Linked DNA regions of Cricetulus griseus. The protein of the gene in region 3 binds, or shares a complex with, the protein of the main gene of each other region. Links are inferred from orthologs where the notes say so. Each region holds a gene or a part of one and is shown on either strand. Other genes may lie near its edges. The genes, in order: Arpc5, Arpc2 and Arpc3.

What was found.
Region 1: Arpc3 (region 3) and Arpc5 share a complex: the UniProt entries of both Homo sapiens proteins name them as parts of the arp2/3 complex. The link is inferred for Cricetulus griseus from reciprocal best matches to the Homo sapiens genes ARPC3 and ARPC5.
Region 2: Arpc3 (region 3) and Arpc2 share a complex: the UniProt entries of both Homo sapiens proteins name them as parts of the arp2/3 complex. The link is inferred for Cricetulus griseus from reciprocal best matches to the Homo sapiens genes ARPC3 and ARPC2.

Annotation. Positions count from the first base shown.
Region 1 is NC_048598.1:38,870,569-38,874,502, forward strand, and holds the start of Arpc5 (actin-related protein 2/3 complex subunit 5), read right to left. Parts: upstream 2,801-3,934; 5' UTR 2,643-2,800; coding exon 2,500-2,642; intron 590-2,499; coding exon 517-589; intron 1-516. UniProt on the Homo sapiens protein: Component of the Arp2/3 complex, a multiprotein complex that mediates actin polymerization upon stimulation by nucleation-promoting factor (NPF).
Region 2 is NC_048595.1:427,484,995-427,488,715, reverse strand, and holds part of Arpc2 (actin-related protein 2/3 complex subunit 2), read right to left. Parts: intron 2,356-3,721; coding exon 2,321-2,355; intron 676-2,320; coding exon 563-675; intron 1-562. UniProt on the Homo sapiens protein: Actin-binding component of the Arp2/3 complex, a multiprotein complex that mediates actin polymerization upon stimulation by nucleation-promoting factor (NPF).
Region 3 is NC_048597.1:102,222,186-102,226,482, reverse strand, and holds the start of Arpc3 (actin-related protein 2/3 complex subunit 3), read right to left. Parts: upstream 2,842-4,297; 5' UTR 2,603-2,841; coding exon 2,597-2,602; intron 1-2,596. Other genes in the region: Gpn3 (GPN-loop GTPase 3), read right to left, coding at 4,215-4,277. UniProt on the Homo sapiens protein: Component of the Arp2/3 complex, a multiprotein complex that mediates actin polymerization upon stimulation by nucleation-promoting factor (NPF).

The DNA.
Region 1 (3,934 bases), on a different chromosome or scaffold from region 3:
TAAGTTCTTGCACATTGTTATACAGTTGAATTATAAGACTTTTTTTTTTTTAAAGAATATAAACCCTTGTAGAAACTCTTTAAGCATGCAGCAATACCAAAGGCAGTAACTGACCCAAGGAAGGAGCATGGTGATCATCTTTTTATGCTTATGATCATATCTTTGTCTTCCATAATATTTAATATTAACATAATTAACAGAACTGATTTCTCCATCCTTTAAATTGACTGTGTTCTACACCACATTATCCCAACTCTACATTTCACTGCTATTTTTTGTAAGATGTTTTTACTTATCAAGAATTTCCTTTTAAACTGGATGTGGTGGCATATGCCTTTAATCCAAGTGGAGGCAGGAGATCTCTGGGAGTTAGTTCTAGGCCAGGTTATACATCTAGACCCAATCTCAAAAGAAAAAAACAATAAACAAAAAATTCACATAGTAAAGTCTTGTGTCAAGGATTTCGGTAAGAACAGTGAGACATGGAAGAGACTAATGCTGTAGCCAGCAACTCACCTTCACTGCCTGACTCTTTGTGTTGATAGGGGGGTTCTTCAGAGCCGCCTGGAGTGCAGCTGTCATGTTTCCTGTAATGACGGTTAAGGGGATAACAACAAAGGACAGCCCCTGCTTTACAGCACTACTGGTTCTTAAGACTTGACTTTCTATAGTAACAAAAATTACTATGGACGTTATGTTCAATATTAGAAACTGCATCCGTTTATTTCCAATATGTCAATCAAAGGTTAAAATCAATTAAGAGAATATAGGAATTATTTTTAAAGCAAAGATACCTTGACCTTGGTCCCATCAAAGAGATTACACTTTCTAGTGAAATACACACAATTGTCTAGATAGGTAGTCAAGAAACCTTATAATTTGCATCAGAATTATTAGGTTACCAGTGGAAGCAGCCTACAAACCAATACCAGCAAACAAAGTATACCATCTTATTTGTGTCTAATTCTTATTGGAAAACAACCCTAAACCTTATATTGAAACTACACTGTATATTACCGAAATGCTGGCTGACTACTCTGGCAATAGGAACGGAACAGGCAATAGCTTAATATTGATGAGCAGGGCTACGGAAGCTGTAATAATCCACATAACCTGTAGGTGGCAGCCTACTTTTTTTTTTTTTTTCCTACAGGTTATTCGAAACTGGGCTGGACCATTCATACCTATTCAATCAGGCTCTGAAAGCACTAGTGAGTTAGCAAGCATGGGAAACGGAAAACCAATCAGACAGTCAGAATAGGCAGTCATTTCCCTAAAAGGAAAACCACAGAGTCACTTGTTCCTCCGTCTGTATGTAGTACAGGGCTGTATCTCCTAGTTATAACGAGAAACTGTATCTTTATATTTTAAGATGGGTTGAGGAAAAAGTAGACTCAACTGATAATGGACACAGAAATAGGAGTCGCCAGAAATTTCCTAAAATACATTATTTTAATAAAATATCACATACCCATCATAAAGATTTTTTTCAAAGAGTAATGCTCACCACTTCTACAGAAAAGGTCTAATAAAAATTACCTACAGTTGGTGATAAACTACTCTCAAGGGTGCATGGTTTTCTAAAGAACACCTTTTTAAAGAAAAAAAAAGCCCAAGTATTTAAATAAGTAATCAAGTTAGTAGCAACTGATGTGAAAGTGAAACCTATATGTATGTTCAATGTTGTAGTTATCACTATTTTTGTTCACTTATTTATTGCTTCATTATAATCCAGTAGAAAATTGACGAGGAAAGAGCTGTATGAACAGACTTAACGAGAGCGATTTTTCTAAAGCTACAATTTGCAACATTTCTATTTTCCTAAGAGATCGATGCAAATGAATTTCAGGGTTATGAATATTCAGATATGCAAACCTAAGGAATCAGGAACTGACAGCCATATATTAATTCGAATGGAAACAATTTCAGAAAAACGATTTTGGTTTCTAGAACCGACTCATCCTCTGTTTTTTATTCACTGGGATTTATCTTAAGGATTTTCAGGGATTCACCACATGCATTCCCTATCTTTTTCCTATTGGCTTTTTTCTTAGCAGTTAAAGGCTCCACGCTTTAAAGGGGAATTTTGGAGAAGAAAACTCCCTTCGCCCTGTGCGAATGAATTATGTGCCAAATCCTTTTCTCTTAACAGTGATGATGATGATGATGAAAAAGCCCATGGGCTGAATGTACCAGGGGCCTCAATACCGGGCTAGGAATTAACTATCTCACCGTTCTGCAAACCACACGCCCGACAGAAAAGCGGACTCCAAGCGGGACGCCCGAGTCCCCACCAGGCATCAATTTCTGGAGCTCAGGTGCCCACTAGGGCGCCGGCCGGTCCCCCGCGAGGGCGCGGCCGCTGGGGCGGCGCACCTGAGGAATCCGGGCGCCCGCAAGTTCGCGAGCACGGCCCCGGGAGCTCCTGCCCTCCATCCCCACCCAGTGCCACGCGTCCGCCCGGCCCCCGACCCCCGATCTCCGCGAGAACAAGGATATTGCCGCAGACAAGAGTCCACCTCGCCCTCGTCGGGCCCGGCCTGGCCATCGCCGCCGTCCTCCTCGTCCACGAACTTATTCTCATCATATTCGTCCACGTCCACCTTCCGGAAGCGGGCCGACGACACCGTGTTCTTCGACATCCCGGATCGCGACGCGACGCTGGCCTTCCCTCCGCGGTGCCTCTTGCCTTTCGCGAGCCCAGCCCGGCGCGGCTCACTTCCCTCTTCCGCTCTGGGGCGTCGCCGGTAGCCGCTGCTTGCTCGCTTCTGGGCCTGCGCGCTAGCCGGGCGCCGCTTCCTCCTCAGCGCCGAGCTGCTCTCCTTCAGCCCCCGCCCCGCCCCCGCGTCCCCGGGTCCCCGGGGTAGCGCGCGTCCGCCAGGGAGCGCGCGGGAAGCACCGCGCACGCGCAGGCCCGCTGCAGGGAAGGGGCGGGGCCGATGAAGGAGGCGGGGGCGGCGGGCGGACAGAAAGCGGCGGGGAGACGCGATTGGCCGCCGGGAACGTCACGTGACACCCGGGAGGTTCCCATAGAAACGCTTTTCTGCGGTCCAGCCTTGCGGGGGGTCTTGGGTTGGAGGCTATGGGCACCTGGGGCGCGTGGCCTGGTCTGCTGCTGCCGCCGCCACCGCCGCCGCTGCTGTCGGTGCCAGAGGCTTGTTGTTGGGGTCCGGTGTGAGGTCTGGGTGACCGGACTCGGGCGTGGGGTGGCATGGACTGGCTGCAGGACCTAGTCCCCTGCAGTCAGCAGGAGTATGAGGCGGAGTGATGCTCCGCTGGGCGCCCAGCACACAACTAGTGATCGAAGCCCTCCCTTCGGACCGAGCGCCGCCAGGGGCTGCGTTCCTGAGCTGAGAGCCCCTTCCCGGGTTTGGGATCCCGCCGCTCTGTCGGCGGGAGATCCCCAAGGACGGAGTCGAGAGGTCACTTCTTACCTGTCAGCGCTGTGTGACAGACAGCATCGCTGCCGGACCTGCAGAATCTAAACTCGGTATTCTCTCCATCCGGAGGGAGGGAAATTCGCCTGGGCCGGAGCTGGGGATGGGTGGCGAAATTGGGGCAAACTTGTAGCATTTTGTAGAATCCGTCATCACATCTTAAAAATAAGTAGTTATTTGGAGCAAGAATGCCAGAAGAGGGTGGGCGAGTTAGGCTCTTCAGTGCTGAGGGAAAACAACATGTGCAAGGATCAATAGGAACTGGACTTTCAAGGTGGATATTTATGGTTTAAGGTTCCTGGGAGCCTGCCTGTGAGTTGTTATAGCCTACATCCCCGTTTGTGAGATCAGAGCTCTTACTGAGGGAGAGGCACTAAGATTGAAGAAATAATAGCTGTGCTCTGTGTATTATACTGTAGTATAAGCATTCATAGAATAAAATTAATTCCGGCGCTTGGCTGTGCCTGCTTGGATGCAGGCTTACCTGGTTTCACAAA
Region 2 (3,721 bases), on a different chromosome or scaffold from region 3:
CACAAATTTCATGCTTGATAAGATTTTAATACGGAACAAAACCTGTCTTATTTAGGGTTACCATAACTATTTTTGTACTAGTTAAGAAAATATTCTCTGTTGTTACTGGAGGATTAACTGTTCTGTTTTCATTATTTTGTAAAATTTGGATAACCTAATAATTTGGAAAGAATAAAATCCTGAGTTGGGTGTGGTGGTACATATCTGTAATCCTAGCTCTTTGAAGGTAGAGGCAGAAGGATCAGGAATTTGAGGACTTCTTCAAACACATGAGAAGTTTAAGGCCAGCCTGGGCTACATGAGATCCTTTTTATAAAAAAGCTTTAAAAATTTCCTTAGGGAACATCATTATTTCTCCAAGTTTAAAAGCAAACAAGCAGAGTGCCAAAATCTTCTTTGGAAAATATTTTTCACATCCTTGTGGGAAACGGAGTCCTTCCTCAGTTAGCTGTGTAAAGTCCCCTCCGTCTGTAAGAGTAGTTTGGCCCATTCTCTGGGCAGCAAGGGGCCAACAGAAGGTGAAGGGAAAATAAGAGTCCCAAGGAAACCAATGTGGGCTTACCTCATCAGCACCATGTGCCTGAAGTTCCTTGTAGAATTTCAAAGAAATACTGACCATCACTTTTGTTTTGTCTCCATTAGGATTTGAAATATGGTAAAGGACACCATCAAAATCTGTGAAAAAGCAAGTAAGGTTGCTTACTCTAGAAACGGGAGCAATCTCCTAGCACCCACCAGAGGGCTGGCTACGAGACCTCTGATAAGAGAGCATGTAAGTAAATGATGCTCGTTTGATTTCACTGGGGAGCCAACAGAAAAGCTGCTGAGGAATTAACTGCTCAGTGGCCATATCTTTGGTCTTACTTAAAATTACAAAGCTATTTTTACTGCATCCACAGTTTGTACTAAAATAACCTTACAAAAACTTTCATTGTGACACATTTTCAGGAGAAAGAGCTATAAACAAACTGATATCCACCCATGCAGCATGAATACTGATCAGCACACGGCCCTTTTGTCAGAACGTATTTGCCCCCACCCCAATTCACTACAAAGCAAACTCCAGATGCAACATTTGATCAATATATACTTCAGGATGTATCTTTGGGAGATATACCTGGTAAGCTATTCAACTATTACCTATTGTCTCAAAAAAATTATAAACATTCTTGTCTTAAATATTCTAACTAGGATCTAAACAAGATCAACACAACATAGATGATTATCTTGTAAGTCTGTTTTAATCTCTTGGCCTATCCTCTTTTTAGGTTCTCTCTTCCTGTCCTACAAAGTGAGATGAGCTCATCTGTATCACTGCAAAAGCTAGGCACGGAGGTCCAGATCACAGAGAACTTGCACAGGAACCACAAGAACCATGAGGACTTGGTACTGCTAGTGACTAGGAGGCACAGATGGTAACCACCTTAGGGCCTTAGGCGGCAAGTCTTCTGAGATGATCTAGTCAAGCACTTGTCTTTCTAGATGGCACTTAGCTGTAAAATCTCCAGGGTCACATATGAATAGCCAATTCTTTTTTTTATTTTATTACTTATTAGTTCAAATTAGGAACAAGCTTGTGTCACATGTCAATCCCTTCTCCTTTTCCCTCCCCTTCCCCCAACCTCCCACCAGCCCCCTCCCCCCTTTCTTTTTTTTTTTTTTTTTTTAAACAGGGTTCACTATGTAGTTCTGGTCAGCCTGGAACTTTCTACCTGCCTGGGTGCTGGCTGGGATTTAAGACTTGTGCCACCATGCCTGGACAAAAGGGAATGGAAGAAACACTACTGCTTTGATTTGACAAACAAGCTCCAGCACCTTCTTACCTTGCCTCTCCCAAATGCTAGGCAAACTTATATGATAGCTACAAGATTATAATTCTGTAGACTTCCAAAGTAAAAAGAAGGTTCTTTGTATAAAACAAACCCCAAATTTCTAAGATATGGAGTGCCCCATCCACTAAGATATGTAAAGTACATAGTTTACCTAACCCCAAAGTCAGTTAGCAATGTTGTAACAAGAAACAGTCCTCGAAAGACTCAAAAACTTGACAATCAAAACTTTTCTTTTCAGGAATGTAAAGCTGCCTCAAGTGTTCAAGAGAACTGACTGGCTATTCTTTCAAAGGACCAGTTTCAATCCCCAGCAGCTGCTTGGCAGTTCATAATATTCTGCAACTCTAGTTCCAGAGCTGATGCCTTCTTCTGGCCTCCTTGGGCATCAGGTACACACATGGAGCACAGATGCAGGCAAAACACCAATACATCAATTTTTTCTTTTCTATTATACCCTCTCTTAAAAAGAGATGAGATAAGACACTTACCTGCAAATGTTACTTCTACAGCTTCTGGTTTGTTTCTGTAAAACAACAAAAAGGCCCTTAGTAAGGTAATTTTAGGATAGGATAGCTTAGTGGATGGGGACACTTGCCAGCTAGGCCTCATGACCTCGGACCTGAGGTGGATCTGTAGGATCCCTAGGGTGAAGGCAGAGAGCTGCCTCTTCCGTGTTGTCTTCTAGCCTCCAAATACAAGCTGGACATGTACATCCACACATATACACAAATAAAGAGATCAAATGTAAGTGGGGGAAATAATTTTACTGTTGCTGTCTTTTAGGGGGACTTGAAAAGGCTCCTGATTTTTACTGGGAATTGAACTCAGGACCTTTGGAAGAGCAGTCAGTGACCTTAATTGCTGACCCATCTCTCCAGCACCGATTTTTACTTAAGACTGAAGCATTCTATATAAATTCAAGGCTTAAAGATAAGAGAATACACATTCATTCTCTCATGGGCCTGAATCTTTAGACTTGCTTAAGGTGGAGGATTAGACAAAGGACACCTACAGCTTGTGTTTTCCAACTGTTATTCAACTGCTTGCCACAGCTAGTGCTCATTCTGATCAATGCCTCCTCCCATAGGATAGTGCCTATGGAAGTAACATACACAAATATGGCTAAGTGTAATAATATAGAATGGTTCTACTGTGTTTAAGGTGAAAGGATTATTTGAAGTCATACCATACCAAAGAACATTCTTAAGCCTTTCTATGCAATTTTCCTTGTAGTTTTTGTTTGTTTGATTTTTTTGTTTTTCGAGACAGGGTTTCTCTGTGGTGCAACAAACAGTCCTGGCTATCCTGCAACTCACTTTGCAAACCAGGCTGGCCTCCAACTCCCAGAGATCCACCTGCCTCTGTCTGCCTCCCAAGTGCTGGGATTAAAGGCGTGTTCCACCACCGCCTAGCTCCTTCCTTGCATCATCAAAGTACCTGCCACACTCCATCAAGCCTGCTTTGGTTCTACCTTACTTTTGTTCTAACTCAGGTCTTACACAGAAGCATGGCACAAAATTAAAAAAAAAAAAATCAAGTACAGTCAAAGCATCTGCTTTCCAATTTTATCTTTCTTACTAGGCTTATGCTCAGGGACAAATAAGAATTCTTATATCCTTTTTCTTATCTCATTTATAAAATGAGAGAATACAAAAGATCTCACTGATCTTGCAGAACTTGAGCTACTTCACAAACAGGCCTTGAGCTACTTCATATTTTAGTCAACTAAATTAAACCCCAGTGAAAAGTCATAGTCTATCTTTCTCTTCAACACCGACAGAAAACTCTACTGTATTAACAACTTGCTAGCAGTTAATTCAAATGATGCTAGTTTGTTTCACATTTAGCAAACAAGATATCCATACTTTACATTTTGCTCCCTTACTCAA
Region 3 (4,297 bases):
CGAACACCATTAATGCAGTCACTCAGAAGGCAGAGGCAGATGTATCTCTGTAAGTTCCGAGGCCAGACTGGTCTACAGAGTGAGTGCCAGGACAGGCTCCAAAAAAAAGCTACACAGAGAAACCCTGTCTCAAAACAAAACCAGAAACAAACAAATGTATTAATTATGTATATGTATTGTGTCTATGTATGGGGATTTCTATGTGTATACAGTGCCCAGAGTGTTTCAGAAGTGGTTGTTGGGTTCCCTGGACCTGGCTGTTGTGAGCTGATGGATATGGATGCTGGGAACAAAATTCTAGTGCTCTATTAAGAGCAGTGTGAGAATAGGGCTTTTCTGATGTCAATGGTAGCTAGCCCTTCAAGAGCCAATCTGCCCCACCTAGTAAATCTTTTATGTACATTTAAAACTTTTAAATTTATTTCTATTTTTTTGTATGCCTGTATGCCAGAAGAGGGTATTAGATCCCATTATAGATGGTTGTGAGCCACCATGTGGTTGCTGGGAATTGAACTCAGAATCTCTGGAAGAGCAGCCAGTGCTCTTAATCCCTAAGCCATCTCTCCACACATTTTCTTTTTCTTTCTTTTGGTTTTTTGAGACAGGGTTTCTCAGTGGAGCTTTGTAGACCAGGTTGGTCTCGAACTCACAGAGATCTGCCTGTGACTAAAGGCATTCATCACTACCGCCCAGCACCTCCACATATCTTTTAATCTCCCCACCTGGTACCACTTCTGTTATCCAAAGGCATTGCTACATTGCTAGAACCTGGTGGCCCAAGGGGCTGACCCTTTCCCGTACCCTTCATTTCCTACGTGAAGACTCTTTTAAAACTAGATAGTCATGAAAGACACAGTCACTACTTGAGTGAGAATAAAAACTATGTGAACTACCCACCCCATCCCATTGTGCTTGCTAACTCTGTTTGTGTCCAGGTCATGGTACATCTTTTGGGTTTTTTTTGGAAAAAAATTGCTGTTAAGTTGCTTTTGCTTTGTTTATGTGTTTCTTTGTGTGACACCAAGTATATGTGCTTCTAACAGCAGCAAGCACTCATAACTGCCGAGCCATCTCTCTAGGCCCTGACATGAGATCTCATATATCACACAAATATCACATATATAGGCACACATGTGATATTTCATGCTAACAGAGAAAGCAGACATAAAATAAATTATCATAGGTTAAGTCCAGAACTTTCTGTGTCCAACTGGAATGAGCACAGAGCTTTCCTTTCTGGCTTAAACTCTGGCTTCACTTCTTGTGAGAAACACTGCACAAGTCACATTAATTCTCTGAGCCCTAGTTCCTTCAGCAAAACCATCACAATAAGGACATCTACTTCATAGTGTCATCCTGGGAATGAAGGTCTCATCTGGACAGTAACCCTGGGTCTCCACATACACTCAGCAACTCTAAGACTCATCAAGACTCATAAACCTTACAAAGCTGAACTTGGTGATGCAGGCCTGTGATCCTAGCTACTTGGGAAGCTGAGGCAGGAGCATCACAAGTTCAAGGCCAGCCTGGGCAACTTTATGAGACCCTTCCTCAAAATAGGGTAAAAAGGAGGAGGGGATATAGCTCAGTGGTAGAGGATCTATATAGCCTGCCATGAGTTTCTGGGTTCAATTCCCAGCACTGCTAAAACACATACACAGAGCTGAAACTTACACTTGCTCTCCTTTTTGACCCAAGTACACCGTATCTACACCAGCCTGGTGCCCTCTCTGTCATGGGGTACTGTGTTGGTTTTCTTCTTTGCACATGTCCATACATCACTCATGCATGTTTGTGTGTAGTGTATAAGTGTTCATGTGTGCATGCAGGTGTATGTGTACATCTACACATGGAAGCCAGGTCTCTTCCACAACTGCTTTTTCCACTTTAGTTTTGGGACAAGGAGCCTCAGGGATCTCTAACCCTTCCCAGCTCTGAAATTGCAGACGAGTTCCTTCCCCTGACGGTTTAATTGTAAGCTCCTTGAGCAGGCCTTGGTAGCTGCTGTTAACAGTGCTGGTTTCCTAGTGAGAGTTCAGGGATGCTTGTCCAATGTGGATTTATTCACGCATCCCTTTACTAATCTGCAAAACAGAACCCATGATGGAGACCGGCAGTCAAATGTCAAGACACATCGCCCATCACCAATTTTTCCTCCCACTCGAAAGCACACGAAAAAGAAAACTCCTAGAAACCAGCGCTGTCTCGATCGTGGTCTGGAGCTACAGCAGGGAGAACGAGGTAGGGATCGGTCAGGGAAGCGAAGCCCGACAGGTGTTTAGCAGCAGGCTGACCCACTCCATGGGGCGGAGGAGGAAGTGGAAGTGACAACGGGGAGAGAAAAGGGGAAGCTGGACCCTAGATTTAAAAATAAGTTAAAAGCCGTCGTTCTTAACTTCGAGGCTCTCGGGTGGGATCTGGGAACACTGCAGGACTAGGAAGAAAGCAGCCCTGCGAGAAAAGGACTGGAGCAAAGGGCTGGGGCTGGAGAGCAGGGCAGCTGTTTTCTCTCTCCCCGGACTTCTACCGCGGCCTCCCGCCTCTCTTCTGGCCCTTGCCCCGCTCGCCTCTCCACCCTCGGGGCTCGAAGCCTTACCGGCATTTTGGAGGTGTCCGGATTCGATCCAGAGAAGCAGGACCCAGGTAAAGCGGAACGCTTCCGGCCAGCGAACCTGGGTGGAGTGGGCGGAAGTGAGCCGGAAGAGGCGGGCGAAGCGAAGAGATGCACTTCCGGTTTAGCTTCCGCCTCCCGGTTGCTGCGACCGCTCTGACCGGAAAGGACGCCAGGGATGTGCGAGCAATAGGCTGAGTGTGTAGCGCATTCATAAAACGCGCGCACGCAGCTTTACAATTAAAGAGTCCTTCAGAGGTTAATAATCACCTCCCGCTTTTTTTTTTTTAAATTCCCTGGCCTGTTTCAAATCCGGTACCACTCAGCTCCCTGATTTATCCTCCTCCACTGTCAAGTTTTTATTTTTACCGCAGCCCACGTGGGGAGTCGAAGTTGGTGCTCACCTTCCACCATGGGGACTCTGGGCACCGATCTCAGGTCTCCGGGTACCTTTGCACTTGAGTCATCTCGGCGGCCCTTATTTTTCTTTTCTTTTTTAAGATTTTATTATTATAGTCTTCTGCCTGCATGCCAGCAGAGGGCGCCAGATCTCATTCAAGGTGGTTGTGAATCACCATGTGGTTGCTGGGAATTGAACTCAGGACCTCTGGAAGAACAGTCAGTGCTCTTAACTGCTGAGCCATCTCTCCAGTCCCTATTTTTATTTTCTTGTGGAAGATTCTTACAATGTCCAGGCTGGTCTCAAACTGGATACATGTGTCTTGAATTTATGAGCCATCCTCTTGAATACTTTTATGCTGGCATCACAGGTGTGGTCCCCATCACTCCTGGTTGCTCAGTTTTATGATGTCTACTTGTGGTGTTTCATCTCCCTGTCTTCCTTGTCACATTGAGACAGTCAGGGACCACCATGGGAGTAAAGTGCAACACCACTGCCCATCCATGTAACACTTGCCTTTAATCCCAGCACTTGGGAAACAGAAGCAGGGGATCTCCGAGTTCGATGCTAGCCTGGTCTACAGAGTGAGTTCCAGGATAGTCAGGACTACACAGAGAAACACTCTCAAAATACAAAAAAAGGGAGGACCTATTTCTTTCCAACACATACATTCATAAATACATATCTCAAAACACAGTTTTAATTTTTAATTGTATAAATAATGTTTGATTTGGGAAAATAAGATTCATGTATATATACCCTTCCAATATTTTTTCATTTGGAGATATGTTTTGTTACAATAATTGTACCTCTTCAAAAACAAACAAATCAATCAAAAGAAAATCCCTCAAAAAACAAAAATCCAACTGTAAATAAAATTAAAATTAGACTCAAGTGCACTGGAGTGTGCACACATACATACACACACACACACACACACACAAGAACAAGAGATGTGTAGGGCAGGTTGATTTATATTATATAAAGTCTCTGCATAAATTGTTACTTCAATTTTTTTAAATCCAAAATGATGCTGTCAGAATAAAATCTCTTCTTGAAAGAGTAGTGGTTTCAGAGCTCAGAGCACAATCCAGGCTCACTCCAGGGAGAGACCAGCATTGTTTACAAGCAGCTGCTTCCCATGGTCACCTCTTCCAAAAGCATTCCTAGGGTCACAATCAGATGGCCACTGTGTAGTCAACCTCACTCATTCTGCCGTTCTTGAAAATATTCGTCAAACATGGAGGAAGACTCTTCTTCCTGTTCCTGACACAAAAGAAAGACAA